Linked DNA regions of Diceros bicornis minor. The protein of the gene in region 4 purifies or fractionates together with the protein of the main gene of each other region. This does not show direct contact. Links are inferred from orthologs where the notes say so. Each region holds a gene or a part of one and is shown on either strand. Other genes may lie near its edges. The genes, in order: VTI1B, VAMP8, VTI1A and STX6.

Region 1 (6,899 bases), on a different chromosome or scaffold from region 4:
CTTCAGGTAGACCAGAAATAAGTAGCTTTTTTTTTTTTTTTTTACCACTCCAAGCATCTGTGACCAATGTAAATAGCAAGATCTCAGCCACATGACACTATACAAGGTCCTCTAGAATGGACCCCAGAGACCTATTTGAACAAGATGGTCAAGCACAGGTGTCAGGCTGGCACTGATATTATAGTTAAATATATACATACAAAGGAGAATATAAAGACTAAATGATATGCATTATATATCAAACAAAGCATTGTGATCAGAGGTGGTCTAGTGAGATCTAAAATGGTAATTACATTTTCTCTGGAGTAAAGATTGGAGAATGAAGAGAGAGGACAAACACTGGCCCTGTGAAGCGCCTAAAGGTCATGTCATCCCTGGGTCCTTTTTCTGTCTTATTCCTTATCCCAGGCAGAGAGCAGACTTCTCAACCCTGTGCTTTAAGCCTCTCTCTTTCCCTTCCAGTGAGTGCCATGTGGCATGGGTCTCTGCCAAGGCTCGTAATGAGACAATAGCAAGGCGGCTATGGGACGTCAGCTGTGACCTGCTGGGCATCACTAGGGATTGACAGGTGGTGGCAGTTGGACGCAAGAGCAGCGTGCAGCAGACTACTCAGTACTCCCTGCCAGAATGTTTCTCCTTCAGGATGGCCAAAACCTTGAGCACAAAGAGAGAAAACCTTCCAGCCTTTCCTGCTTGATGTCTGATGAAAGTCCAGGGTACACTGCCAGATTCTTCTAAACACCTTGCATTTGTCCAGGTTTACTTTGCTACTGTTACTACCAGAGTTACTAAAGATATCATAGGGTAAGTACACCCTCATATGACCTGAAAGCTCATATTCTCCTTCTGAAATCTACTACCTAGGAGAACTTAAGCTATGGCAGGGCTGCTTTATGGCAAATTGAACTAGTTTCTACCCTCCCTATTCACAATGAAGTTCTTCCCAACCAACCAACCTTCACTTCAAGAGAGCCACACTGCAGCCTCAGCTGAACTCCAGGAGTCACAGTGGCTTGGCCCAAGAGCAGGGCTTGTCCCTCACCTCTTAAGAAAACCATCATGATGCCAACATCTAGATTCTTTCAGGAAACTCTTAACTGAATCTGGATTGTGACATGGTTTTATCTCTGTCCACCTAGAACCAGTGCTGTTAAGACACTTTCCCATGCCTAGACCACAGAAGAGCTACCTTTTCTAAGAAGTTTGTGGGGTTTTGGGGGAAGGCAGAAATAAAAATCTATTTAAATTGTCATTTTCCTGCTGTTCCTCAGGCCAGCAAGGGGGTAATGAAAGGAGCAGTATGGGAAGCTGGGCCACCTACTTCAGTTACTGACCCCAGACCCGTGGAGGCCTCCTCCTTCATGCTTTAGCTTCTCTTAGAAAACCAGAAGAAAGGAAAGGCTATCTGGTGATTGTCACTGCGTATATCTTTCTGTATTTATGCAGTTGGGAGTATTTTCACAAAATTCAAAACAGCCACCAGGGAACAGTATTAAACTGGACCCTAGTGCAGGTACATGATAGCGATGGAGCAAACCAGTGTCATCTAGACTTGGATACAAATGGATAGAGCTGCAAAGGGAAGCAGACTCTGTGCATGCTGGTAACTAACCCACCAAGAAGCACATGGGTAGCAGGGAAGAAGTTCAAGAAAGAGAAGAATCCTGGAAGATAATGCATGCATTGAAGGGCTTAGTTAAGGATTAAAAAGAGAAACCCCAGCTACAGATGGTAATATCCAGCTATAGAAGAACTGAGGATGAGCACTTGAGTTAGTAAGACTGACAAGGTACTATCTTAACACGCACCAGTCAGCCAATGTGGCAGAGAATAACCCCAAACAAACAAAAATAAAACAAAAAAACCCAATTCTTTAGTCAGTAAAATTATCTTAAGGACTGATATTGGTAATTACAGTCAATTTACTAATCTTTCAGGGCATTTCATTATCTTAATAAGATTAAAATGTCTATTTTCTAAAAGTCTACATCATATTTGGAGAACTTTTATCAAAAGTAATGCTGTCAAAGGATGTCTGAGGAATTGGTAATGTGCCCATCACTTGTTGGGAGTATGGTTTTCTAATACAAGTTTGTGATTTTGTTGGACTGACAATTATATGTTCACTTTGGTGGGGAAAAGAGTTATAGGATCACAGTCTTTGTGTATTTGTAAATTAATAATCTTTTGTTGAACTTGTTTTGACCATTAAATTATATATTTAGAAATGGTTATTTTATGGAAAAATTTGATAATAGTGCAGTAGAATAACTGAATTAATATTTTACCTGATTTATATAGAACTGTCAATGATAAATAAACATTTTTTGATTATCATGTTTTTATTTACCAGAATAAAAACTGTAAGAATTAAACATAAGCTTAATTAGAGTCAACAGAAGAAAACAATTAATTATAGTCAAAAGAAGAAAACATTTTTCATTATTACAGTTACGCAGTCATTTCTCATTCTGAGGATAATTTGTCCCAGAGTCCAGCCAGAGTATAGTCTCAATTCAAATACCATTAATTTTGGTTGTGTGATTTGATTACTCATTCACCCATTTTCTACTTATCTTGTAAGGTCACTTTTTCCATCCCAGGCTATTTATTCTCTCTCCGTTTTGTACCTGCCCCTTCTATAACACAATGCTATGGGACATATCACAATACACTGCCACTAACAACCTCAGACTCTGCTGTCTCTCTATGCTCAATAAATATTAGGAGCTCAACAAAAGTTTGTTGAATCAATAGTCAATGAACTCAGTCTAATAAAAATAAGGATGCAGGAGATATAAATCACAAAATCATTTCCCCCTGAGCAGTCATGTGTCTTTTAATATGTGTGGGCAGTTTTAAGTATTCCGTTGCCAAGCAAACATTTCTGAACCGGTTCCATAGGCAAAGCATGAGGAATTTCCTGCCACTTGAACCATGAAAACGTGGAGTGCAGGTAAGGACTTTGTAACTGTTAACACTACAACTTGCGGAAAGAGACCTGACGAAGGGGTCCGCCTTGCTCACCACATTATATTATATATTATTCTTCACTAACACATGCCCAGACCCCTGCACAATGACTACGCTGAACATTAACAAACACCTGCTGCGTGAACAAATGCACCAGGCGAGCCCGGCCGCTAGAGGCTGAGGGCGTATTTTGGGGGTCACACTGCCCGGCGACCACTTCTGAAAGCATGTGACCCTGGTCACTTGACCTCCCCAGTAAAAGTGCTTCACCGCTCGAGGGCAGGCGGGAACCCGGCCCGGCTATCTTTCCAGGGCTGAAAGCTAACATTAGTCAGGACGTGAACCGAGGAAGTCAGGGTGGCCAAACAGTGCGCCGACGAGGAAGATAACGTCCAGAAGCACACTGATACCAAACCGCTGTGCGTCAGCGTCATCCCCGGCGGGCGCTGCGCGGCCAGAGCCACCGCCCCGGGCAACCAGTGACCTCCGAGTCGGAGCGTCTTCCGCTACGAACTACAGCCCCCGGCATGCACTGCAGCGTTCCCTCCCCCTCGCCAGAAGGCGGGGCCCTGAAGAGAGGCGGCCGCGCTGCCCGTCCCGCTGGTCCCCACAGTCCTTCCCGCTGCGGCGCTCTCCCCAACCCCGGACTGGGTATTTCCGGGGCCCCGGGGCTGTCGCTCCCGCCGGCGCGCCGCTGCCCCCTCAGGACTCGCCTGGGCAGCGCAGCATGCCGGACTTTCCGTCAGGCTTTCGCGCCCGGCGCTCCCACAGTGACGGCATGAAGGGAGTGGGCGTTCCGACGCGGGAGGACCCCGCCGCGGCCCCGGAAGCTCCTCGTTCAGGGCGGCCGTGGCGGCGGTCGCCGTGATGCCTGCGGCGCTGGGCGGCTGACCGCGAGGTAGCAGCGGGCTCCGTGCCCAGAATCTCGGCGGCCGCTGCTAGAACGCGGCCTGCGCCATGGCCACCTCCGCCACCTCCTCGGAGCATTTCGAGAAACTGCACGAGATCTTCCGCGGCCTCCATGAAGACCTACGAGGGGTGCCGGTGCGGCTCCTGGGCACTGCCGGGACAGGTGAGGCGGGGGCGGGCCCAGCCGTGGGGAACTCGGCTCCGCGCGCCCTTGTAGCAAGAGTCCCAGACCCCGGCCCTTTTCTCTGCTCTTCGTCCTCAGACACGCCCCCTAGGGCTGGCTGGGTCCTGGCGCCCAGGATCTCCCTGCAGCCACTTAGGGTGCTCAGGTGTGGACGCCGGAGTGTCATCTCCTTGGGACTCTCCCTCTTAATCCTCCTATAGCTTTCAAAATTTTCTCGTCTCATTTGCACTGTGGCAAGAAGAGCATAGGAAACCTTACATCTGCGGTTCTCTGTTTCAGTAGAATTGTGTTTTTTTTTTTAGCTCTCTGTATTTTGTCTTATGCACTTAAAAGCATTATTCTCAAGAGAGGTCCGTAGTTTTCACCAGACTGGCAAAGGATCCGTAGCACCAAAAGGGTTAAGAACCCAGAGGAGTCATAACTTTGGGGGTTGGTAAATATCAATTTTGGGGGTTGGTCTTAAAAATCAGGATTGTGGCGTCTAGCTATGGTCCTCTTATGAATTTTCTGTTTAGACTATTTCCTGCCCCTTTTCAAAATTGATTTCAAAATACAGGTTGCTGCAAGCTTTGCCTGGAGAAGCTAGAGTTTTGCAGTGAAATCCACAGGAAGACCTGCCACAGTTATTTGCCTCGGAAAAACAGATCTTGATGTCAAGGCAGATAAGATTTTGTTTTATTGTTTTTACTTAAGGATCAGAGCTTGAGTGTTTGTTCTGTGAGTTACCCAAGATCAGATGAATTAAATGATTCCAGTGAGAATGAAATTCATACGTTTGTTTAACATATTTACTGGGAGAGGCTGCTGTGTGCCAGACACTGTTCTGGATGCTGATAATATTTCAGATTACAGTGAAAAGATTTACAAATCCCCGTTCTAATGAGTCAATGATAATATATAAATATTAAGAGGCAGTGTTGAGGGCAATACAAGAAAATAAAGCAGGGCAAAGGAATAGAGAGTTGGGAGTGGGGAGCTCTAATTTTAAATAGGGTGGTTGTGAAAGGCCTCTTTGAGGTGGCGGCATTTGAGCAGGGACTTGAATGAGGGGAGTAAACCATGCAAAACTCTGGGAGAAGTGAGTGTCAGGAGGACAGAATAGCACTGCAAAAGTCCTTACGCAGAAATGAGCTTGGTATGTCCTAGGAAGAACAAGAAGGCCCTTGTGTTTGGAGTGGACTGAGCAGGTAGTGGTAGTAGATGAGGCTGGAGAGAGGTTCGCAGGGCCAGATCGTGTGGGGCCTTGTAGACCAAGGTGAAAGATTTATATCTTTTTCTAAATGCAATGGGATGCAATTAAAGGATATTGAGCAGGAGAGTGATGAGATCTGATTTACAAGGTGGAAAAAGAGACAGTTTTTTCAGCCTGGTGCTGAATTAAATTTTGCACTGTCCATTTCTATAAGGCTAAATAATGCAAAAGGGCATTCCATTTTGAAAAATAGAAAACTGAATTAGTTATATTCACCTTCATCATCTACTTAACCTTCTCATTCGTACAAAGAGGATGATCAAAAAGGTGTGAATTCCTACCCAAGTACAAAATACTCTAACACAAGTTGCTGGTAACAGACTTAGTTGTTTAATGGGTAAGTAAATGTAAAACACACATATTCCCAGGTTATAATAAGAATTTCAGCAACTTTCAATTTCCCTATTCATACTGCTCAATAAATATTTGTTGAATAAATTGAATTTTATTAAGTAAACACACTGGGCCTCATCTCTGAATCCTTTTTTTTTCCTAGTTCTGAGACTACTCCATAAGCTTTCCAGAGATTTAATTTCCATCGTGAATTATTAGGCACTGAATAATGTACATAATACAGCCCTTGCATTTAGGTTATGTGCTTTAATTTAATTCAGTCATTTTTCAATAAATATTTATTGAGAATTGTTACATGTCACTCACTGTTCTGGGCCCTGAGGAGTTCCAAGAGTTCTTGCCTTCAATGGGAGCAAATTTACAAGAAAGTGTGTGATGAGCCCTAAAATAATTTTGAGACCATTAAAAAAAGGTTAACTTGGGCGTGGGGGAGCAAAAAGAAAGGGGAAGAAAGGGAAGCTTCACAGAAAGGAGAACCTTGAACTGAGTGTGAGGCATTGGATGGGAGTTGGCCAGACAGAGGGGAAATGGAACGAGGCAACAAAGGAATAGAAATTGAATGCTCACAGCTGTGACTGGAGCTTAGGCTATGTGTGGGAGAGTAGTAGATGAGGAAAGTAAGACACAGCCAGATTGTGAAGGTACCTAAGTGTAACATTGAGACATTTGGACTTGATATGGAGAATTAGTAAAGGATTTTAAGAAGCTGACTAATATGGTCAGAGTTTATTTTAGAAGGAGAATGTTGGTGGCTGAGTAGAGGATGCAAGAGAAGCACAAGAATCTGGATACAGGGGACCATGTTAGGAGCCTTTGAGGGAGTCATCTAGATAACATGGGAATCTAGAGAATCCTAAATCCAAGAGGTGAGTCTGAGGCAGAAATTAACCAGACTGATTGGACATGGAGAAGGAGGGAGAAAGATTCAAGGGTGTCTGTATTTTCTCCCTTGGTCAATTGACGAACATAAGAAATATAAGAGTAGAAGCAGGCTTGTTTGGGTTGTGGATGAGAACTTCAAGGGTCCTTATAGAATTGAGAGCATAATGTATGTCAGTTCTAGCCTGACAAGATATTTCTTCTTCTGCCATTAAAAACAACATTTACGAAGACGATATCATGTGAATTGAGAGGCAGTATAGTGTAATATTTACCAGCAAGTATTCTAGAGCTAGACTCCCTGGATTCAAATCCTAGATTCACCTCTTTAGTAGCTGTGTGACCTTG
Region 2 (7,027 bases), on a different chromosome or scaffold from region 4:
GGAGGTGGATGGAATTGTCCAGAGAAGAGATCCTGCTGGCATTACCTAGGAAGCAGGAGCTGGTGTAGAAAGGAGGGGGTGAATATGAGTGACATGACGAAGATGGAATCAAGACTTAGTGATGTCCCATTGCGTGTGTAAGATGACTGTTGGAGGTGTCTATGGACTGTGCAGGGCATCGGAAAGGAAGCAATGGCAATTGAAAGAGAGGTCAGGGTTGGAGGTAACAGATTGGGGGATTGTCCGTAAAAAGGTGTTACAACACATAAAGTAAAAAGGTGTTACAAACATAAAGGCGTTGCACTTCCCTATGGAGACAGAGTGTCTCAACCTCGGCACTATTGAAATTTTGGTCTATACAATTCTCTGTTGTGGAGAGGGCTGTCCTTTGCATTGTAGGAAGTTTAGCATCCTTGGCATCTACCCACTAGATGCCAGTAGTACACTCCGCTAGTTGTGACAACCAAAAATGTCTCCAGACGTTGTCAAATGTTCCCTTGAGGGCAAAATCAACCCGGTAGAGAACAGTTGCTCTAGGAGAGAGTATGGAGTCAGCAGAGAAGATGGCCAAGGGCAGAACCTTTGTGTTCTAAGAACACAGTCAGAAAGGAAGAGAACGCATTGGGAGAGATGTGGGGTGACTGTGTCACAGATGGGGTGGCCAGTTGTGTGACAGTCTACAAAGAGGGATTTGGAGATAAAAGAGGCCTTGGCAGTGGTGAGAGCGTTATGATTCTTCAGGAAGCAATTCCAGTTGAGCCTCCTGACTGTGCCTTTTCCTTGTTCTATAGCCTTTTCCCTGAGAGGTACAGGAGTAAACTGCCCACTTGGGCCATAAATAAGAAGACTGGGATATATACCACTGTACCCCAAAGTTTGCCTGGTTGCTTTGCAGGCTGTTAATTTTCTTCTTCCCTTATTTTCTCATTCCATTTTCTCTATTAGTCTCCTTTTTCATCTGTAAAGTGATTTAGCAGAAATATAGAAATATACACCTATATCATTTAATCCTAATAATAACCTTGCAAAGCATCTTTCATTCTTTTTTTTTTTGGTGAGGAAGATCGGCTCTGAGCTAACATCTGTGCCCGTCTTCCTCTATTTTGTATGTGGGACGCCACCACAGCGTGGCCTGATGAGTGGTGCATCGGTCCATGTCTGAGATTCGAACCTGCAAACCCCAGGCCGCCAAAGTGGAGTGCACAACCTTAACCACTAAGCCACCAGCCCCTTTCATTCTTTTTTTTTTTTTTTTTTTGTGAGGAAGATCAGCCCTGAGCTAACATCTGCCAATCCTCCTCTTTTTTGCTGAGGAAGACTGACCCTGAGCTAATATCTGTGCCCATCTTCCTCCACTTTACATAGGACACTGCCACAGCATGGCTTAGACAAGCAGTGCGTCGGTGCGCGCCCGGGATCCGAACCCCGGGCTGCCGCAGCAGAGCATGTGCACTTAACCGCTATGCCACCGGGCCAGCCCCTGCTCCTCTTTCATTCTTATTCCCATTTTGCAGATGGGGAAACTGAAGCTCCCAGAGGGAAGTGGCTTGCCCAAGACCACACAGCCAGGGAGTAATAGAGCTGATAAGCAGATCTTCTGATCACACAGGGACTGAGAACACTCTCCATCACGCTATGGTGGCTTCTTTGGCTGCAACTCCTACCACCTAGCATCTTTTCGTTACAACTACTGACACTCCATTTCTCCTGAGATAGAGCCTTCATTGACTGTAGAGGAATCAATGACTTTCATTTCTCTTCTTGTACTCTGCCCACAGGACTGTTTCTGCTCATAGCAGAAATGTTGTTCGGTGTCTCACTGAATGTCTTACCTTGTGAGGGTGTTAGCAAGATGGTCTTCTGACAAAGGGTAACATTATAATGTTTGCGCAGGTGAGGCCAAGCCTGCAGGGATTCTGCATGGTGAAGATGAAGGTGAAGAAGTTGCAGGCCCAACTGTGGGCACTTGGGAATCTCCCTGATGGTTGCTGGGTCTAGGCCAAGGGTCAGCTCCCTCAGGGACACCAATGTATGTCCAAGGCTGGCAGTTGCATGTCAGACCATAGTAACTCCTCAACCAGATTCCCACCCTGGGGTTCCTCTTCCATTTCTTCCTGTTCCCCTCAGTCCTCCTACTCTGGTCCTTTGTTCTTGGTACCTCTCATGTTCCCCTATCCACCACCTTACTTAGCATCTGGAATTCTTAATAATAGTAATCACAACAGCCACCATTTACTGAGGGAGTTTTAAGTGTCAGGCACAGACAGGGAGGTAACTGAGGCTTAGAGTGTTACGTAAGTCCATCCAAGGTCACAGAAATATTAAGGCAGATCAGCGTGTCTAAAGAAGTATAGAAATATAATTTGAGGGGCTGGCGAGGTGGCATAGTGGTTAAGTTGGCATGCTCCGCTTCAGTGGCCCAGGGTTCACAGGTTCGAGTCCTGGGTGCAGACCGACGCACCACTCATCAAGCTGTGCTGTGGCGGCGTCTCACATACGAAAAGAGCAAAATAGGCGTGGATGTTAGCTCAGGGCCAGTCTTCCTCACCAAAAAAAAAAAAAAAAAAGAAAAGAAATATAATTTGAGTCACATTTGTAATTTAAATTTTTCTACTACCCAAATTAAAAGAGAAAAGAAACAGGTGAAATTAATTTTATCAACTTTTTAAATTTAACCCAATATATCCAAAACATTATTTCAACAAGTCATGTAAAATTATGAATGGGATATTTACATTCTTTTTTACATAATAAATCTTTGAAATCCGGTTGTGTATTTTACTCTTATGTCACATCTCAATTCAGACTAGCCACATTTCAAGTGCTCAACAGCCACATGTGGTCAGTGGCTGCTGTATTGGACGGTGCAAGGATAGATCAAGGATTCAGACCTACCTCCACTTGGCCATGTTGTAGCCTTTCTAAGGATGGTGAGGATTGGGGCAGCCACATTCTCTGTGAAAGCAGGCTGGTACTGTCCACCAAAATTCAGGTCTGCAAAATATAATCATCTAATTTTATTAGACCTTTTAAAAAATGTCTAATTTGTGAGGGAAGCTGACATCTCCCCCTTGGAACTGGGATGGGACAGGAATGTTTGTTCCCTTCTGCACGTCTCTGTTACTGTTCTTCTGTCTTGATAAACACCATCCAGGAAGAGTGGATTTTCTCTGGCCTGGAGCCCGGTTGGTGGAAAAATCCTTTGCCCTGGGCCTCCTCTCTGGTTTATAGGGCAGTCCTCTGACCATTTCTGACTGGGCTCACCAACTCCCATGGTGGCCCCTGAAGGGAAATGCAGGATTGTTGAATTCTGGAAGGAAAGGAGCCATTATTTCCCAATTTGCACAGTGGACAGTCCTTCGGTCCAGGCACTGTGCTAGGCACATTACATGTGCTACCCTTTTACTGCTCACCACCACCCTCTGAGGTCAGCATCAGCACCTGCAAAACCCCAGAGAGGTGAAGAGATTCACTGGGGTCACGCAGCTAGTAACCCAGAGCTATCTGATGCCAGAGCCCAGGATCACAGCATTCCATTTGGGGGTTTTAGTGCTTTCTGTCCACCCATGGACATGGGAACAAGGGTTGTCCAGCAAAAAATGTTCATATCTGCATTCTGTTTCCATGTGAACTAGGCCTGGCAGGGTGCTTATGATTGATTTCCGTCTCTAAGAATTGGACTCAGATATTCAGGACATAAAAAAAGGAGATGGCTGCCCTTTCTATATCAGGAGGCCCAGCCTCAGGAAACCTAGGAGGGCTGCTTGATTTCTCTTGTTCCTGACGAGTTAAAAGACCTTTGTTGCCGGGGAGCCCTGTTGCTTTAAGCCTAAGCCCTGGTTTGGGAGGAGACTAGAAGGGCAGTGGAGGGTGTCCGCCTACCTAGGGGAACCTGTGTGAGGTGTGGCTGGAGCAGGCTCAGGATGAGAGGTGGACGGGGGCGGGCTGAAAGTTGGAGCAAGCAGGAAGTGAACCAAGGGCCGCCCCAGGAGGAAACAGACTAGGCAAGTTCTGCCGCTGACGGGCCCCAGCTGCTCGGAGACATGGTGAGTGAGCTGGGAACTAGAAAGGGGCTGATTTAAAGATGAGCCAGAGGGGGCTGGGGGCTGGGGATCGGGAAAGGAGAGTTGGTGGCAATGTCAGAGGGTTGGGCCAGCACTGACTGTGGCCTCTCTTCTTAGACAGCTTGGCTGCAAATAGCTCTGAGCTGCACGGGCGGGTGTTCCTCCTCCTTCTATACTCCCTCCCCTGACCTCAGTGCTGGCCTGGAGCAGTGCTTCGGTGGGTGGGCGTGGGGGATCCGAATTCCAGGCAGAGAGTTGCTGAGCAAGCGGCCCTTCCTTCATCTTCTCCTCCAGCCTGCCGGCCGACCGGCCTGCTGTTGTGACACTCCTGGGCAGCGCCTCTGCTGTTCCCAGTGCAGATTCCAGCCCAGCGGCGGGAGCTCTTCCCCTCTGCCTTTCACTTTATCCCTGTACAGAAACTCCCAAAATTTGTCTCTCCACAAGTCCAAGGAATTGGCTCCCCCCCATAAACATGAGGAAGAGAGCTAAGGGTTTGTAAAAGAACCAGAAATTGGTTCTTTGCGATAATCTAATTTGGCCCACACCCCTGGCCTGTTTCTGGAGGTCCTGTGGGTCAGAGAGGGAGGAGCTTGATAACGTTTTGCCTCCTTCTTTAAAAACCTTATCATGAAGCCTGAGGATGAGGCCTCAGCCAGGGAAGACTTGCCCTGTATTTCCCCCAGTGCCCAGGCTGCTGCTTTTATTTAATATCTGCTTCAGCAGCAGTGGCGTGGTGCCTGCGCATGGTGCTAGGTGGTGGGGAAAGCAGAAGTTTGTGGCCCAACGGCTCTCTCTCTTGGGGCCTTGTGAGGGACTTGGAGCCTAGTCGCTGTTGGCCTGGGTCACAGCAATTAGGCTGCCCAGGAGGCCCGAGGCAGAGCTGCTCTCCAGCTGCTTTCTTGGAAAGAGGGAGAGTTGGGCTAGGTGAGGGAATTCTGCTGGCCCCACAGACATTTTTAATAAGGAACCTGTGGGATCTGGGAATTGGTAAATGGTGGCGGGGTTTTGCATCGTGAGATGCCAGCTCAGCTGTCTGCTCTGACCCTCTCCGAGGAGCAAAGAAGCAGTGGAGAGGGTCTCAGTGGTGTGCTTCTTTTCCTTGTCAGGGACCCTGAGAACCCAAAAAGAAGTTTGAGCTAGTCTGTCTAGCAACAGCTCTCATCCTCTGGGGCTTAAAAATGCATTTATTTTTGATTACATGAGTGAGACGTGAAAACATTCTCTTTGTAAACAGTTCAAGCTTTACAGAACACTAAAGTCCATGTTAAGTCTTCCCCTCCTCTAGCCTCTGAGGCTATCAGTTCCTCCACCACTTGGCCCAATTAACCCCTGTGTTGCTGCCCAGGAGGAAGGCAGTGGAGGCGATGGAAATGATCATGTGCGGAACCTGCGGAGTGAGGTGGAGGGAGTCAAGAATATTATGACCCAGAATGTGGAGCGGATCCTGGCCCGAGGAGAAAACTTGGACCATCTCCGCCACAAGACAGAAGATCTGGAAGCCACAGTGAGATGGGGAGCTCACTGGGGGCTAGAAAAAGAGAGTGCGGGAGGGTCGTTGGGGGTTTAGGGATTGGTGGTGTTGGGGGCAAAATGAGCAGGAGGGAAGTCTGCCTTTTCACCTGTTTTGGGAATTGAAGTGAGCTGAGTCCCCACTTCTGATTCTACTCTACTCCACTGATTGGCACTGGGGTCCAGGGAATGTGTACAATGACTGTGGTTGGGGGGTAGGGCCTGACCCCTGGAGGTATTTTCTGAGACAGATGGCTCAGTCAGCCCGTGCATTCTTGGGCTTCTCTCCTGTGAAACCGATTTTCCCTTTGAAGGCTGCCCTTGACAACCATTTGGACCTGACCTCCCAGGGCAAAAATATTGGCTTTGGTGGGGCTGGCCCGGTGGCATAGTAGTTAAGTTTGTGCACTCTGCTTCAGCAGCCTGGGGTTCACAGGTTCAGATCCTGGGTGCGGACCTACACACTGCTCATCACGCCATGCTGTGGTGGCATCCCACATACAAAATAGAGGCAGAGGGGGCCGGCCCCATGGCTCAGTGGTTAAGCGCGTGTGCTCCGCTACTGGCTGTCTGGGTTTGGATCCCGGGCGCACACCGATGCACCACTTCTCCGGCCATGCTGAGGCCGCGTCCCACATACAGCAACTAGAAGGATGTGCAGCTATGACATACCACTATCTACTGGGGCTTTGGGGAGAAAAAGGGAAAAAAAGGAGGAGGATTGGCAATAGATGTTAGCCCAGAGCTGGTCTTCCTCAGCAAAAAGAGGAGGATTGGCATGGATGTTAGCTCAGGGCTGATCTTCCTCACGAATAAATAAATAAATAAAAACCAAAATAGAGGCAGATTGGCACAGGTGTTAACTCTGTGACAATCTTCCTCAAGCAAAAAGAGGAAGATTGGCAACAGATGTTAGCCTAGGGCCACTCTTCCTCACCAAAAAAAAATATGTATTGGCTCTGGAAAATCATCCTAGGGCCTTTGGCTTGCTCCAGAAGTTGTTAGGTAGGCTAGGGGTGGAAAGGTGTTAGAGTCTTGCTGAGCCGGCTGGAGAAAGCGCTGGAAATCACAAAGGCTAGGTGAAAGCCTTTGATCCGGGGCCCACTGCTAGGTGAAGGCTAGAATATGCCCCACACATCTTGCTAGATCTCAGTTTTCTCTCTCTCCAGCCAGCGGCTCAGGAAGGGAGTAACTCTAAAGTTCAACAAAAGCTCGAGCCTAAGGTTCCAGGTTCACGGCAAGAGTCTAGCTATGGCTTTCTGGGTCCTGTGTAATCTTGGATAGAGCTCCTTTTTCTCCCTGGGACTTAGTATTTCTTCCCACAACCTAACCTGGGAAGCATGGCCCAGGGAAACTTAATTTCTGCCACTCCAGTTGGGAGAGGAAGAGCAGTTTCCCTCACTTCCAACCCCCACAATGCCCTGGTCCCTTCTCTAGCTTCAGCAGTCCCCATA
Region 3 (8,044 bases), on a different chromosome or scaffold from region 4:
ACTGAGAGGTTCATTATGAAGAAATGAGCACGGTTCCTGGTTTTCCTCTAGCTCTGAAATGCAGTGACTGAAGTGGAGTACAACAGAGACTCAACAAAATCACTTATAAATCTCCACTGGGGTTGATGGGGCCTAGCAGACGCTTGTAACTTCCTTCCTGTTCTCATCCTTTAGATGTGGAATCTGTGAGCTAAGCAAGCTAACTCCAGAATAGAAGATGTGGTACAATAAGCAAAGTCTTAAGGGTTCCCCTAAACCTCAACATTTTCAACATAAATTTCTTATTAATCAGTGGATATAGCTGTTCATTAAAAAAGGTTCTAGCTTGGAGCCGAACCGGTGGCGTAGTGGTTAAGTTTGTGCACTCTGCTTCGGCGGCCTGGGGTTCGCATGTTTGGATCCCGTGTGTGGACCTACCCACTGCTTATAAAGCCATGCTGTGGCAGGCATCCCACATATAAAATAGAGGAAGATGGGCAGAGATGTTGGCTCAGGGTCAATCTTCCTCAGCAAAAAGAGGAGGAATGGCAACAGATGTTACCTCAGGGCCAATCTTCCTCACCAAAAAAAAAAAAAGGTTCTAGTTTATTTCACATTTTTTATAGTGATTCAGTTTTCTTCCCATTAAGTTTTTTACATTAAACACTTGTGATAATAGGCACCTGGATTCATTTATTAGATTTGTATAAAGTGTAGGTGTCAGTCAACTAAATAACAGAAAAAGCAGGTCTGTTTTATAATTTAGACTCAGAACAACTCTAAAGCTAGTCAAGATGACAGTTGACAAGCACAATTAATTCTGATCTATAGAAACAACTTGAAGGTATAACTTTTTAACTTGTTCTTGGCAGGGCAAGAAGCAAAGTAAATCTGTATTTTTCTAGAAGAATCTTTTCACTTATAACAAAAAAGAGTGAGATTTATTTATTATCAGAATTGATAATTGAAGAGTAAAATGGAGATTATGGACACAAGTATTCTGACAATATTTTTTATAAACTAGCCACCTTGCAGAGAATAAAACTAGGATTGATGTGGTAGAAGGAACAACATCAAAAGACCAGTAATCAAGTGGATCAGTCGCCAATGAATAGCAAAGACAGACAGTACCTGTTACACTTCCTGCAGTGATGTGACCGTGGTGCCTTGTACGCTTGGCAGACTTTACAATACTGGAGGTACATGCTATCTTGAGAATTTTCCTTGGCAGCAAAATATAAACAAAAATACATCAGATATCTGACCCTAAGTAATAATAAGTCAAACCTTAGGAATAAATACTTTCCTATGGTTTGATTTTCTTTTATGGGGATGGGGAGGATGGAACCTTAACTTGTATCTGCAGCTGTTTTATTTGAGCTAAAATATTTTTAAATAATGAATTTCTGGTAACAGCAGCATCACTTTTCCAATTACCCAGAAGTCATTTTTAATTTCTCTTCTCCATGCTCCATCCAAATCCAGTGTCACTGAGTATACATACTTGGTTCTACTAAGATCCAAAATCTCAGTAGAATGGGAGGAGTTCAGAAAAAAAGGTAGCTGACAACTTGGCAGGTATTTTAGAGTGGGACTCAAACACCAGAGTTGATACTCTTTTGGAAATCAGGCCCCTCCCTTGGACCACTTTAACTACTTCCTAACTAGTTTCCTTTACTGTAGCCTCTCTAATCCAAAGCGTCTATTGTCAGAATAACATTCCTATAACACAACTCTGATTGCGTCAGAGCTGTGCTTGAAAACCTCTAATAACTCCCTATGGTCTAATTTCTCATGTATTTGAGGCCTTCCATAATCCGCCTTTGTTTCAGCCTTATCTTTACTATATAATCTCTTTTCCAGCCAAACTAGGCTGTCCATTGTTTCTGAATCCATGCTACCACCATTCTCTCAACCTGAAATGCCCTCTTCCCCATCTCCTGTGGATAATTTCCGCTCCTCCCTCAGGTCTCCAGCTGAAAACGATCAGTTCTTCTAAATTCAACAGCATCCATCACATTCTACTCGATAGTTATCTGCACAAGTGCCTTGGTTTGTCTTCTCACTTATAAGGTTCTTCAGAACATGAACTGCATTTTACCCACCTCTGTACCCACTTCAAATAGCACACTAGTGTTCCTCCAACTGTAATGTACCTAACAATCACCTGGTGATTTTTTTAAACACAGATTCTGATTCAGTAGTTCTGGAGTGGAGCCCAAGATTCTGCATTTCTGACAAACTACCAGGTGATATCCCTCAGCAAAGAATATGAAAATTCATATGCATAAACTTTCTAACAATTTTTAAAAAGCCATAAATTGATTGATACTATCAATCGAGTGATAGTATACTTCCCAATATTATGATTTCACCACAATGATTTAAAAACTTTATGACTTAAACCAGCAGTTTCTAAAGTGTTTTTCTCAGTTTTGAGGGATGTTAATGTATTACATGAAAAAAGATCCTGGAGTTAAACCACACTGTGATATTATGAAAAGTGTATGATATGCAGTGTTTCCTAGAAACTTAAGAACATGGACTCACCACCCTCCCTCCTTTTGTTTTTTTTTTTTTTGTGAGGAGGACCGGCCCTGAGCTAACATCCAATGCCAATCCTCCTCTTTTTTTTTTTTTTTTGCTAAGGAAGACTGGCCCTGGGCTAACATCCATGCCTATCTTCCTCTACTTTATATGGGATGCCGCCACAGCATGGCTTAAAAAGCGGTGTGTTGGTGCGCACCCAGGATTCGAACCGGCGAACCCTGGGCCACCGCAGTAGAGCGCGCACACTTAACTGCTTGCGCCACCAGGCTGGCTCCCTCTTTTTTTTTTTTTAAATGCAGAAGTATTCAATGAAATTACTTGGGGAAACCCTAATTTAGATCAATATCTTCAAACTGGTATGAAATAAATTCTTTGAGCTTTAAATAATGTGATTAGAATAATATGCTTAGTCTCTACCAAGGCAAAGAGCAGGCTGTGTTTGATATTATTGGTTAGCAGATAAGGCAAAAACTAAATATATGATTATCATTAGAGTTCATCACATTAAGGAATCTTTTTCTTACCGGTTTCCACCCCAGAGGGACAAAGCCAGGGCCAACAAACATGGCATTGAAGTAATTATAAAGAATCATGACAGTCCAATTTATCAACATGATGAAATTCACGCTTCCTCCAGTTGTATGTAAGGGCCAATACCACAACACAGAGTCAATCATGGCCATCGTAGAACATATTGCTATAACACTAAGGGCTATGATGGGTCCCCAGTGACACAGTCTCTTTAATTCTTGGAGATTTTCAAACTTCACAACTGAGCAGAATGTACCCATTTTGGTGAGGAAGAACGCCTTCCTATTTTTAAAGAATTATAGATTTCCTTTTTCTGTGCACACATTTCCATGTGCCACAAGTCCATGTGTGTTCTTTAACTGTCATGCCTTCAAGTTGTGAAACGGCAATGCAGATTATGCCATTTGTACTGTTACACACTCAGAGCTCTTTATCTTAAAGAGGAGAATCCAGTATCTTGGTTTGAAACCCAATCTAAAGAAAACAAAATAAGAAAGTTTAGTAAAACCTTTTATTATATACTATATTTATCAACTCCAATAATCACCTACACTAAAGCATCTTACAAATGCACTACTACGGGATGAGTATCTTAAATGTCAAAAAGAATGTTTTTCAGGCTGGCCCAGTGGCCCAGCGGTTATGTGCGAGTGCTCCCCTGCTGCAGCCGGGTTCGGATCCCAGGCAAGCACTGACCCACGGATGGTCAAGCCATGCTGTGGCGGGGTCCCATATAAAGTAGAGGAAGATGGGCACAGATGTTAGCCCAGGGCCAGTCTTCCTCAGCAAAAAGAAGAGGCTTGGCAACAGATATTAGCTCAGGGCTAATCTTCCTCATAAGAAAAAAAGAACGTTTTCATCTTATCCAAAATAGGGTTCAAGTCTGAATGGCATGTAAACTGGATACATGATTCTAAAATATACTTTTTATTCCTTTGTTCCCAACTTGTCAGAGGACTGTGACTACCCAACGTTTAATGAATGGTTTGAGGAGACAAAGTTTTAGAGCTGGGAAGGAGGCCTTAGAGTTCATCTAATCCAGCTTCCTTCTTCATGGAAAAGAAATTGGCCGGGAGGAGCTAAGTGATTAGACCAAGGTCACTAGCAACAGCAGACCTCAGAATAGAAACCAAGTCATCGAGCTCCCTTTACAGAGTTCTAAACTGCCTCTTACCTATCTCGAATTAAGTCAAGTACGATCCAGACATGGTCTATACCATTTGCCTGCGCTTGCCTCCAAAACACCATCATAAGGGTCTATTTGGGCCAAGGGTACAGAAGCGGGAGAGTGAAAGCAAAGACAGTGCGAGGAGAGGAGGGAGGGAGAGAGGTGTGTGTGAAATCACGACTGCAGGCGTATACGAGAACGACCACGAATGAGAACATTGGAGAAAAAAAGAAGAGGAAGTGCCTCTCGGAGCGAACGCCGGCAAAACCTGTAGAAGGGTCTTCCTAACTAGACTGGGGTGAGTCAGAGAACAAGGTCTGAGGTAGAGGATAATAAAAACGTCCTAGCAACAGATGCCCACTGCCTTGTGCCTCAGTTTCCCGCTCGTGCCGTGGAGCAGAGCGCTCGGATCCTCACTCAGGAGAACATGTGGGTGTTGGTCTCAACATCTGGAGAGTCTGGCCTCACTCGGGTCGGCCGAAGACCGCCAAAATCATGGTCACATCCCCCGCCTCGACTCCCACCTCAGACTGGTCATTGGTGCCCGCGCCTCTGCCACCGCATTTCCGGCGGCCTGGGCTCACCCAGAACAGGTTTTCTCTTCCTCGGATAACTCCGTCATGGGTACCCCAGTCCAGCGCAAGCAGAGAGCAAATCCTGGTTGCGAGAGGCTGGAGCGCGGGCCGCCCACGACCGGTCGGTCTCCGCCAGCGCCCTCGCCGCTGCTCTCCCGCGCAGGCCCGGTGCGCAATCTCCGTGACAGCCACTTCCGGGAAGTTCTCCACATCAAACGTCCCGCGGGAAGCAAGCTCTTGTGACTTGTATCTTGAGGAGCCGGAGCCGCTTTCCAGAACTTAAAGGAGCAAAAAATTGTTTCCAGTGATCCCTGAGAACACGCATATTTTCGGAGGCCTTTTGGGGCCCTAATCGAAGTGCTTTTTCTTAACGAATTTCTTAATCGTGAAGCCTGAGCGGAAATTAAAAAGCGCACGGCAGCCCGATTTCCAGAGGACCGAGATTGTGACGAACAACCAGGAAGCGGCCGGGCCGGGAGCTGTCGCCGGTTCTGCGTTCTGCTCTCGAGGGTGCCCCCCGGGGTCCCTCCACGGTGTTCTCCTGTCCCGCCTGGCCCCTGCCACGACCTAGGCTCCGGCCCGGGCCGATCACTCCGGAGCCACCATGTCGTCTGACTTCGAAGGCTACGAGCAGGACTTCGCGGTGCTAACTGCCGAGATCACCGGCAAGATTGCGAGGGTCCCCCGACTCCCTCCTGGTGAGCCCTGGCCCTGCCGGGGGTGTGGGGGTGGCCCGGAGAGAGCGGAGGCTCGGGGGCGGTGGAACGCCGCCTGAACAAGTGTCTCTGAGGCGCGAGGCGGGAGTGGAGCCCGGGGGCGGTGCTGGAGCCCTTCCGGAGGGATGGAGCTTACTTAGTTGAGGCCAAAGGGAGAGTCCTTTGGGGTGCAGTGAGTGAAAAGAGTCTTCGGAATCTGAGCCATCTGGGCTCGAATCCGGACTCCAGCGCCTTGTTACCTGTATAACCTTGGGAACGTTTCTCTAAGTCTCAGTTTTCGTTTGTAAAATATACAGATGTGAGTATTCAAAGAGAATGAATGAACGTACCTAGACCATGAGTCTGCAGTATACAGCAATGTTGTTTTATTAGTAATAATATTATTTTATGCGGCAAAATAGGGTTAAGAGCCACGGTGTCTGGATTCAAATCCCAGCTCTGCCACTTAGGAGTTATGGCGCTTAGGCAAGTTTCTTAACCTCTTTCAACTTTCCTTCTTGGTAAAATGGGGAGAATTGTACGTCTCTCATAGGGTTGTTGTGAAGATTAAATGATTTAACACATGGAAAACCCTTTCTTGGTGTTAGCTGCTGTTATCATTAGTATTTTTCATACCCTCAACCCCATTTATTATTTCTCATCCTTCTTGGCAATCTGTAGGCCAATTTTATGTAAAACTTGGTACAGTTTTTCTCACTTTTAAAATTCCACAACTGCCATCTAGAAGTGCTTTTATTTTTGTATTTTAGCACGGCTTACGTCCCATGCTAGACTGCCAACTATGTGAAGGTAGGATTGACTTAACTCTTGGCATTTACTTAGAGCCCAGAAAAATGTTTAAGTAAATAAACAGATGAATATAAATATGATATTTTGTGATTTTTGTTTGTAAGACATCGTTTGAGGATTTATCTTTCTCTAAATACAGATTTAATTTAAGTAGTTAGTTGCAGATAAGATTGTTACTTTTTGGCTTAGTTTTGTTAGGGAAATTGGAACATCATGGGACTGCTAGACTTGGCCTTACCTGCCTCTAGAGTGTAACATGTAGAAAAGAGGATGCTCATTGATCTGTGAACTGGTGGGCAACTTCTTTCCCACCTTGTTGGTCAGTCCTTGATGCCAGCAATAATTTCTCCTGAACCAGGTTGTCATTCCTCTTTGCCTTTCCCTACTTCCCTCAAAACTTATGTGTTTATAAATAATTGTCTTCCTTTATTTCTTTGTTTTTCTTTCCCCCCCCCACGTATTTTCTATTAATAGGGATATTTGCTTGAAGCCAGGATCTCTGAACTTACACCCCACTCATCTCCTGAAGTCCCAGTTAGTTCTGGAGGAGGTGGATCTTGTCTTAAGGAGGTTTATGAGTCCAAGTGAGGGAACAAGAGGAGAGGACGAAGGTAGCATATACCACCGAGCTCTGCTGCCTCAGAGATTTTTGTGGAGAAAGTGGCTGATGGCCTCATCACTTCATGATACATCACCTCGCCTCTTCTCTTCAGTTCTGCTTCTCTCCACTGCCCAAGATCATCTTGATTTTTGTTGTCATTGTTGTTGGAGACTACTTCCTTTGACTTGAGTCCCAGAGCCTCAGAATATCAGGACTTAATGGTTTCAGTTGGATTTTTGCTCAATTTTAATTGTAATAGTGTTAACAGTGAAACATTTTTTGTTTGGGCTAATAGCTTTTGTAGTCTGAGGGTGTTTTATAAAGTAACAGAGTCATCCCTGGGTGCAAAGTTGTAAAAACTATTTCCAAGAAAACAAATTTTGTTACAATTGCTTTTTCCTTGCCTTTATATTTTAATGTAACCATTCTTACCACGTAGAAGGAAACCTTTGAATTAAGTACCTTAAAAATAAAGTCTTGACTCTTCTTAAGTACATATAATGTAAGGCCCAAACATAGCAGCTACATTAGAGTTGAAAGGAGACTGTATAGCTGGCACTGGAAAAATGCTTACTGTCTTGACATAGTAATTCTTAAACATGCAGTGGTTTCTCTCTTAATAATTACTTGTGCTTGTTCCCTTTTAATCTGTTTCTAATTGATAAATATAAAAAGGTGAAAAATATATCCATGTAGTTATGAATTTCAGTTGTATGTTATGTGGACTAACGAATTAATGTGTACAACCATGGCAAAAACAGTCTGATTAAAAGTAATTATAATCTCTCTCTCTGGACATCATTAGTGGTTGACCCAGTGGAGGTAACTGTAATTTTATTGAGTTAAGAAGGTTAAAAATTGGAGCGAACTTTTAAGTCATAGCAGTTCACTGCACAACTTATTAACTTATTTAAATTGAAGTAGGGGGGGTAGGATTGATTGCAATTCACTTCAATCTCTGCTGTGCGTGTACAATGTATTAGATTGTTACTTCCAAAGAGAGTAGAAAAGATTGAATATTTTAAAACTTTATTTTAAAAAAGAAATTTGATTACTCTGTGATATGTTTAAACAATAAAAAGACTCTGCTCTTAGACTAAAGTGTTTGAATCTTAATTAATTTTGGTAATTGGAC
Region 4 (7,834 bases):
GTGGAGCAGGGCATTCAGTACCACGGTCACAATCACTGTACTGAGTCTGGCATTGCTGAGGCCCTGAGCTGAGGGTGGGCAGAGTGAGTGCAGGATAGAGGAGGGTGGCAGGTCATGAAGTGTGTGCGCTTGATTCTGTAGGCAACAGGCAACCACTAAACGATGTTAGGTAGGGAACCCCTGCTTGGGTTCTAGAAAAGCTACACCTGTGCTGCCCAATATGGAAGCCACGTGCTTGAACTACTGAACGCTTGAAACGTGGTTAGTGTGACTGAGGACCTAAATTTTTAATTTTAAACTTAAAAACTGATAGGCAATTCAGTTATTGGAAAACTTTTAAGTATGTTTGGAATAATTTGGGTATGTGAATCTACTTTTTCAACTGTAAGTTTAATCTACTCTAAATACAGATCAAGTATTTGATGAAAATTTAGCATCCAAATTGAGATGTGCTGTAAGCATAAAATACACACCAGATTTTGAAGACTTGATACAAAAAAAACCTCATTAATTATCTTTATATTAATTACATGTTGAAATAATATTTTGACTCTATTAGGTTAAAGACATTAAAATTTATTCACCTGTTTCTTTTTTTAATGTGGCCACTAGGAAATGTAAAATGGCATATATGGCTCACATTTTATTTCTATTGGACAGCACTGATCCAACAGAACCAAGGGCAGATGAAAAAGGCAAGAGACTGGAAGCAGGAAGAACAATTAAGAGGCTCTTTGATAAGAGTCCAGATAAGACAGGCCCCAATTATCTCAATTCCACTCATCTCAAAACCTCATTCAAGATCTATTACTACCTCCAAAAGCTTTCTCAGTCATAACAATTCCTAATGAGTTGCCTTTCTCTGAACTTCTGGGCACTTATCTTCTGTAGCATTCACTTCAGCGCTTAATCTTTTACCACCTATCATTTTTAATGCTGGAAAGAGTTGTTTCTCAGATTAGACTATAAACTCCTAGGCTAAGGGCCATAATTTAGGTGTCTTTAATTTTTCCACATTGTGTGACTCATTTTCAGTACTTTTAATACATGGAGGTACATGGCTCCCCAAATATGCTGTCACACAGTCTGGAGACACTCACGTGGCTGATTTTACTTTTCTGCAGCAGAAGGTACTGAGAGAGTCTCTTTTCCGTCAGACAACTTAAGGACACCAGCTAAGGTGATGTAAAAGTCAACCAGGACTCCAGGCCGATGTTCCAATAAAGCAGTGATATCTAATCAACAAGCAAGCATCCGTAGACTGTATTGGATACTATCAGGAAGGAAATGTCAAGATGGCAGAGCAATTGAGTGTTTTCACAAATTCCATTAAAAATAAAACAAATAAAAATGTGCTGATTATTTCTTGTCTCGACTGCCAGAGATAACTTGTGCAACCTAAGCTTTAAGAACTTTCATTCAAGGGAAAAATGCTTAAAACACAGCTTTAACATTTAAAAATTAAGCCCTAAATCAAGCCTTTTAATATAATCCATTTTCCAGATAGAGAGTCACATATTACTAATAAATCTACAGCTCAGCATTTTCCCATCTAAATTAAAGGTGAAGAAAAAACTTTTCTGGGAAATAGTACATAAACATGTTTTTTGGTATCATGGATACTAAAGCATTTCACCTAAAGTACCACTTAAATTTTCCGAGAAGAACTCTTAAAAGAACACACATATACCCAAGCAACCGGTCAGCTTTTACCACTGCAGAAATAGGAAGCTAGTAGCAACTATGTGAAAGCAAACAGACACTTTATGATAATTAGTACTGATCTTCTAGGAACTTGGTAGTTCACAGATTTTTTTTATGTTTGACATTTAAAACATAAAGTTGACAAGTTACAACATCAGAACGATCTTTCTTGCATTTGTTTAATGCCTACAAAGCTCATATAACAAAGTGCACTTAAAGTTTCTATCTCCAAACAACCGAGGAATCAAAGACGGAGTCAGGACAGCTCAGAAGGAAAAATGAGTTAAAGCAGTTCTAGTCAGTGAGGCAGAAGAAGAAGAAATGGGGGAAACCTGTCAAATGGCCTGGATGAAATCAGGAGTTAAAAAGAAAGCACTCATTTCCTTCGGCACTGTGGGAAAATCCCGGGGCTAATAGAAACTGAGGAAAGTTTGGTTTGGCTGATTGCATTTTGTTTTCCTTCCAACATCATCACCGAGTATGAGCGACGGCTTTCCTCCCCTCACATTACTCAGTAAGAACTCCCCCACTGAACTGAGCTGTCTTCCGGAGCCCTGCTCCCCAGACTCCCAGATCAACGTCGCCCCCCCTCCCCGCCCGCAAACGTGCTCAGACGCCTCCGGGCTTGTTGTGGTCTCTCCAGCCTGCGGGCGAGCGCTCCAAACTCAATGGACAATGGGAGCTCACCCCCGTCCACCGCCAACTACAAAGCTCAGGAGGGCCATTTCCCTTTTCCTGCCCAGATGCTGTTTTCTCTCCTTCGAAGCGGGGCCCCGTGCTCCACTACCGCCCCAGTTGGGGCTGGGACCTGTGTCTCCCTCCCCATCTGCAGAGCTGCCGAACCCCTCGACCCCCAAAGTTGTACCGCAGCGCACAGGCCAAGGGGGACACCCTCCCCAGGGGCTTGGTTGGGGGCACGGGTTTCACAGTCCAGGTTGGACGGGGAGGGATGTCTCGACGCTTGGTCATGGCCCTCAAGGCTAAGCCGTCCCCTCCCCAGCCTCAACTTGTCTCTCCTCCCCCTACAGAGAGCAGAGCCGGGAGGTGCGGGCTGGCCTCCTCCAGCGGAGTCCTCGGCGACACTCACCCTTTCACCACAAAGAAGGGGTCCTCCATCGACATGGCGTCCCGGCCCCCGGCCGCCTCACGCCTGCTTCGCGCACAGGGCGCCCGCGCCCTCCTGGCCTCCCTCCGCACACCCCACTGGCCTCCCGCAGCCGCCGGCGCCTGGGCCTGGGGGACCTGGAGCAGCGCGCGCGCGCAGGCCAGGTGCACAGGACCGTCGCTGGTCCAGCGCTCGGTGGGCACCACAGACAGAATTCCTGACTCCTGCGCTGCCTCCTCCCCCGGCTCTTCCCGGCGCGTCCGGACGCCCTGACCCCGCCCCCGAGTCCCTCGGCCGCGGCCAACCACGAACGCGGCCCGCTGCACCACTTCCGCACCCGCGCTCACGTGACAGGGTCGGCCCCGCCCCTCGTCGACGGGCCCGACCACCGCGTCAGGCGACCCTGGGGGCGGGGCTTTGGGGGCGGTGGAGGAGGGCTGCTCTTTTCTCCACCAGCCCCTCAGCATTTGGTGCGAGGAAGTGCTTGTTGCCTCGTAGGAGGGCTGCTGTGTTTTCATGCTACGCCTCAGTACGTGATTGCACAATTCTTTTACCTTTCTTCTATATTCAGTACTTGATTTTGATAACATGTGATTTATAAATCCATCTCGTCCTCGTCTTACAATAAAGCGTGCTCGTATACCTTATCTGACTATGATAATGTTGCACAACTTCTTTATGTAGGTCTTACCACGAGTCTGGCAATGCGCTAAAAGTTGTGCGTTATCTCAATATTCTTGGGAGGAAGGTATTACTACTCCCATTCTGTCGATGAGAAAGGTTCAGAGAGGTTTCAAGATTTCCTGTGGTCACACAGCCTGGACAGGGCAAAGCCACAGATTCTGTGCGCTTTCCTCCAGATGGGGACGTGTTTTCTTTTCGTGTGTATTCTGCAAGTGACCACTAAGGTAATTTTTTCATACAGGAGAGAGCACCTTTGAGGGACAGAGAAGGGGCCAGGTATGGCAACTTCCTCTCAGCTATGATTCAAGAGCTGTTCCAGAAAATATTTTGGTCAGAGCAATTAGCCAACTCCTATGCTAGATGTGCTGTGGGGTTTGTGGACTTTAATTGCTGATAACCATTGAGCACTTATTGTGTTTGAAGCACTGTGCTAAGTGTTATCTCAGTTGCCCCCAGGATGAGGTAATTACTATTATCCCCATTTTATGAATGAGGGATCTGAGACTCTTGGAGTATAAGTGACTTGCCCAAGGTCACCAGTCTCTTTGGAGATGGAAGAGTCCTTGGAGCCGAGCAAACCCTGTTTGAACCTGGGTTCTGTTATTCAGTTCCTTATCTATAACATGTAAATAATAATATTTAGCTTGTGAGTTGTTGTGAAGGTTAAATAAAAATGCCTTAAACCCCAAGACCCCAATGGAGTTGGGTAGTGAAGTCAGGGAAACCAGTGAGGAAGCTGCAGTGGTCGTCTGGCCTGAAGGGAGGAAGACCAGACTAGGACCGACAGCAATTGTAAATGGAGAGGAAGAAGCGAATCTAATAGATATTTCAAAGGAAAAACAAAACACCTAGACCTGACAAGAGATTGAATGGTATTGGGGAGGAGAGAGGTGCAAGTCAGAGACTCCAGGCTTCTCTGAGACCCTGGAGGAGCAGTGGAGGGTGGATGTGGGTAAGGAGGCTATTGGGAGAGAACTGTTTAATTTGGTTATGGACATATTGAGATGGGGAGGTGAAAGGGATCCCCATTCATTCATTCAACAAACACACTAAGTTGAGGGGCAGATGAGAATAGTAGTTAAGAGCCATACTTGGAGCCAGATTGCCTGTATTCAAATCCCAGTTCTGCTACTTCCTGACTGTTGTCTTGGGCAAGCTGCTTGATCTCTCACTATCCTCAACTGTGACATGGATGCCACAATAACACCTCCTGCATAGAGTGTCGTAAGGGTTAAATGAATTGATGTGTGAAAGGTGCTTAGAACAGTGCCTGGCTCATGTGTGGTACTCTTACTATGTGCTAAGCACTGGAGGCACAGAGATGAACAGGCTTGATCCTTGCCTTCAAGGAACTGTCGGCCTGGTGGGAGAGACAGGCAGTTACACACAATGAGAGAAGGGCACGGGTTGCCAGAGAAACACAGAGACAAGATACCAGTTTATTTGTGTGTGGAGGCGGGGTTCTAAACAGTGACTAGAGGCAGGCAGGAGACAGCATGGCAGCCTGTGGGGGGCCATGGCAGAGGGTGTTGCTGGAGTAGCAGGAACCGGAGAGTGGCAGGAGGAGCTAAGGCTGGGGGAGATGGGCAGGGTCAGATTACCAAGAGCCCTTGATTATGATTTGAGAACTGTGGATGTGCTCTGTAGACCATGGCAGCTGAGGGCATTGACAGGATCAGAGTGGCATTTGAGATGGCTGCCACGGTGGCTGGGAGGTCAGCTGCGTGGTTGTGGTCCAGAGGAGGAACGAGGGTGTCCTGAGCCAGGCTTGCAGCCACTAGAGTGGAGAGGAGGGATACATTTAATACTTTAGAAACCTAATCAGTGGACTTGGTGACTGATTGGTTCAGTGTGGGGGTGGGGTGGGGGTGGTAAAAGAAGAGGGAGGAAGGCCTGCGGGGTTCTGGAGTTGAAATCAGGTGCTTTTTAGTTCCAATAACCAAGAAAGAAAGCACAGGAGGAGGATTAGATTTAGGGGGATATAAATCAGCTGCTAGCATATTGGTTTTCCCCACTAAACTGTAAACTCCTAGAGGGAGGGGAGACTATATTAATGTCATTATCACCCCAATGCCTAGCATAGCCTCTTATTATCTATTCCATGAATTTATTAATTAAACCACAAATGAGAGGTCAGTGTTTCATAAGCAGAAACATAGAGGATGGAGGACAGAGGCTTGGAGAATTCCCATAATTAGAGATTTGGAAAAAGTACCAACAATGGAGATAGTGGAGGGTTGAGATATGAAATGTGTGTGCAGAGGGGAGTGTCCCTTTCTGTAATATGTCACCCTCCTTCACCCTCTTTCAAACCAAACTAGACCTTGGCTCCATTGCCCCAGAAAAGGGAAGTATAGCTAAAATGCAAGGAGAAACAAAGGAAGCTATTTCTTTTCTTTTTTTTTTAGTTTAACTGGCTCTGGGTGCTGGCATAAACAATAACTCAGGAAGAATACTCAGTAAAAAGCCTTCTAATCCTATCCACCTTATTCCCTCAAAAATGAGAATTAAAAATTCTCATAGGGCCGGACCCATGGCTTAGTGGTTAAGTGTGCGTGCTCCGCTACTGGTGGCCCGGGTTTGGATCCCCAGCGCGCACTGCCGCACCACTTCTCCAACCATGCTGAGGCCGCGTCCCACATACAGCAACTAGAAGGATGTGCAGCTATGACATACAACAATCTACTGGGGCTTTGGGGAAAAAAAAGGAGGATTGGCAATAGATGTTAGCTCAGGGCTGATCTTCCTCACCAAAAAAAAAAAAAAATTCTCATAGAGTTGCAAAATCAAAACAGCAGTTGCCTTGGGGTGGGGAGTATTGCCTGGGAAGGGAAACTTGCTGGGGTGATAGGAATGTTCTGTATCTTGAGAGGAGTGTGTGTTTCACAGATGTATGCATTTGTCAGAATGCATCAAACTGTGACGCTTAGATTCTGTTCATTTTGCTGGAGGAGGGTAACACTCTAACTCTGAGTTTTCTGTAGAGTCCTGAGAGGGCATCCAGGAGAAGATCTGGGCCCTGAGCGAGTCTCCAGATAAGGAGAGTGAGCGATGGAGGGAGCTTGCTGGGTCTTGCGAGGCATCTTTTGCTGAAATAGGAGATGCCGATTCAAAGAATAGAGCACCGGCCACCAGGCCATGGATCTCATGAAGATAAGGATCAGAAAGGATCAACTCACATCCTATTGCTAAGGATGCCAGGATAGACTTGAGCCACCCCCTCCCCCTAAAAGCTGTCGGAGTTCCATTAGGCCCTGCAAGAGGAGCTCTTCTACTTTCCATTGGGAATGATAAGCCCAACCTGCTCCCTCACTAGGTTGTGTTAAGGATCAACTGGAGTGATAAATGTGAAAGCATTTTGCAATGTACGAGATACTGTAAGCCACCCTAAATCCTTTTTTAAAAATAATTAAAATTTTTTAATTGTGGTAAAATACACATAACATAAAATATACCATCTTAACCATTTTTAACTATATGGTTCAGTAGTGTTAAGTACGTTCACATTGTTGCTCAACCAATCTCTAGAACTCTTTCATTTGCAAAACTGAAATTCTGTACCCATTAAACACCTCCCTATTCTCCGCTCTTCCCACCCCCTGGCAACCACCATTCTACTTTGTCTCTAGGAATTTGACTACTCTAGATACCTCATCTAAGAGGAATCATACAGTATTTGTCTTTTTGTAACTGGCTTATTTCACTTAGCATAATGTCCTCAAGGTTCATTCATACTGTAGCATGTGTCAGAATTTCCTTCCTTTTAAGGCTGACTAATATTCCATTTATGTATCTGCCACATTTTGTTTATCCATTCGTCCGTTGATTGACACTGGGGTTGCTTGCACCTTTTGGCAATTGTAAATAATGCTGCTCTGAACGTGGGTGTACAAATATCTCTTTGAGACCCTGCTTTTAATTGTTTTGGGTATATACCCAGAAGTGGAATTGCTAGATTATATGGTAATTCTATTTTTAGTTTTTTGAGGAACTATCAGACAGTTTTCCATACTGGCCGCACTATTTTACATTCCTACTAACAGTGCACAAGGGTTTCAATTTCTCCACATCTTTGCCAACACTTATTATTTTCTCTGTGTGTGTGTGTGTGTGTATATGTGTGTGTATTTTCTGTAGTAGTCATCCCAATGGATGGGAAGTGGTATCTCATTGTGGTTTTGATTTGCATTTTCCTAACCATTAGTGATATTGAGCATTGTTTCATGGGTTTATTGGCCATTTGTATATCTCCTTTGGAGAAATGTCTGCTCAAGTTCTATGCTCATTTTTTAATTGGCTTGTTTGTTTTTTTGTTGTTGAGTTCACCTTAAATCCTTTTTG

What was found.
Region 1: the proteins of STX6 (region 4) and VTI1B purify together in Homo sapiens (affinity purification with mass spectrometry; 3 studies listed by BioGRID and IntAct, counting the BioPlex papers as one, with this or other methods). This does not show direct contact. The link is inferred for Diceros bicornis minor from reciprocal best matches to the Homo sapiens genes STX6 and VTI1B.
Region 2: the proteins of STX6 (region 4) and VAMP8 purify together in Homo sapiens (affinity purification with mass spectrometry; 3 studies listed by BioGRID and IntAct, counting the BioPlex papers as one, with this or other methods). This does not show direct contact. The link is inferred for Diceros bicornis minor from reciprocal best matches to the Homo sapiens genes STX6 and VAMP8.
Region 3: the proteins of STX6 (region 4) and VTI1A purify together in Homo sapiens (affinity purification with mass spectrometry; 3 studies listed by BioGRID and IntAct, counting the BioPlex papers as one, with this or other methods). This does not show direct contact. The link is inferred for Diceros bicornis minor from reciprocal best matches to the Homo sapiens genes STX6 and VTI1A.

Annotation. Positions count from the first base shown.
Region 1 is NC_080763.1:16,317,900-16,324,798, reverse strand, and holds the start of VTI1B (vesicle transport through interaction with t-SNAREs homolog 1B), read left to right. Parts: upstream 1-3,814; 5' UTR 3,815-3,930; coding exon 3,931-4,045; intron 4,046-6,899. Other genes in the region: RDH11 (retinol dehydrogenase 11), read left to right, coding at 463-565. UniProt on the Homo sapiens protein: V-SNARE that mediates vesicle transport pathways through interactions with t-SNAREs on the target membrane. These interactions are proposed to mediate aspects of the specificity of vesicle trafficking and to promote fusion of the lipid bilayers.
Region 2 is NC_080751.1:4,416,288-4,423,314, reverse strand, and holds the start of VAMP8 (vesicle-associated membrane protein 8), read left to right. Parts: upstream 1-3,943; 5' UTR 3,944-4,043; coding exon 4,044-4,046; intron 4,047-5,409; coding exon 5,410-5,568; intron 5,569-7,027. UniProt on the Homo sapiens protein: SNAREs, soluble N-ethylmaleimide-sensitive factor-attachment protein receptors, are essential proteins for fusion of cellular membranes.
Region 3 is NC_080745.1:76,031,875-76,039,918, forward strand, and holds the start of VTI1A (vesicle transport through interaction with t-SNAREs homolog 1A), read left to right. Parts: upstream 1-5,033; 5' UTR 5,034-5,407; coding exon 5,408-5,501; intron 5,502-8,044. Other genes in the region: palmitoyltransferase ZDHHC6, read right to left, coding at 1,111-1,202, 3,054-3,320. UniProt on the Homo sapiens protein: V-SNARE that mediates vesicle transport pathways through interactions with t-SNAREs on the target membrane. These interactions are proposed to mediate aspects of the specificity of vesicle trafficking and to promote fusion of the lipid bilayers.
Region 4 is NC_080743.1:86,161,568-86,169,401, reverse strand, and holds the start of STX6 (syntaxin-6), read right to left. Parts: upstream 3,052-7,834; 5' UTR 2,827-3,051; coding exon 2,792-2,826; intron 1-2,791. UniProt on the Homo sapiens protein: SNARE promoting movement of transport vesicles to target membranes. Targets endosomes to the trans-Golgi network, and may therefore function in retrograde trafficking.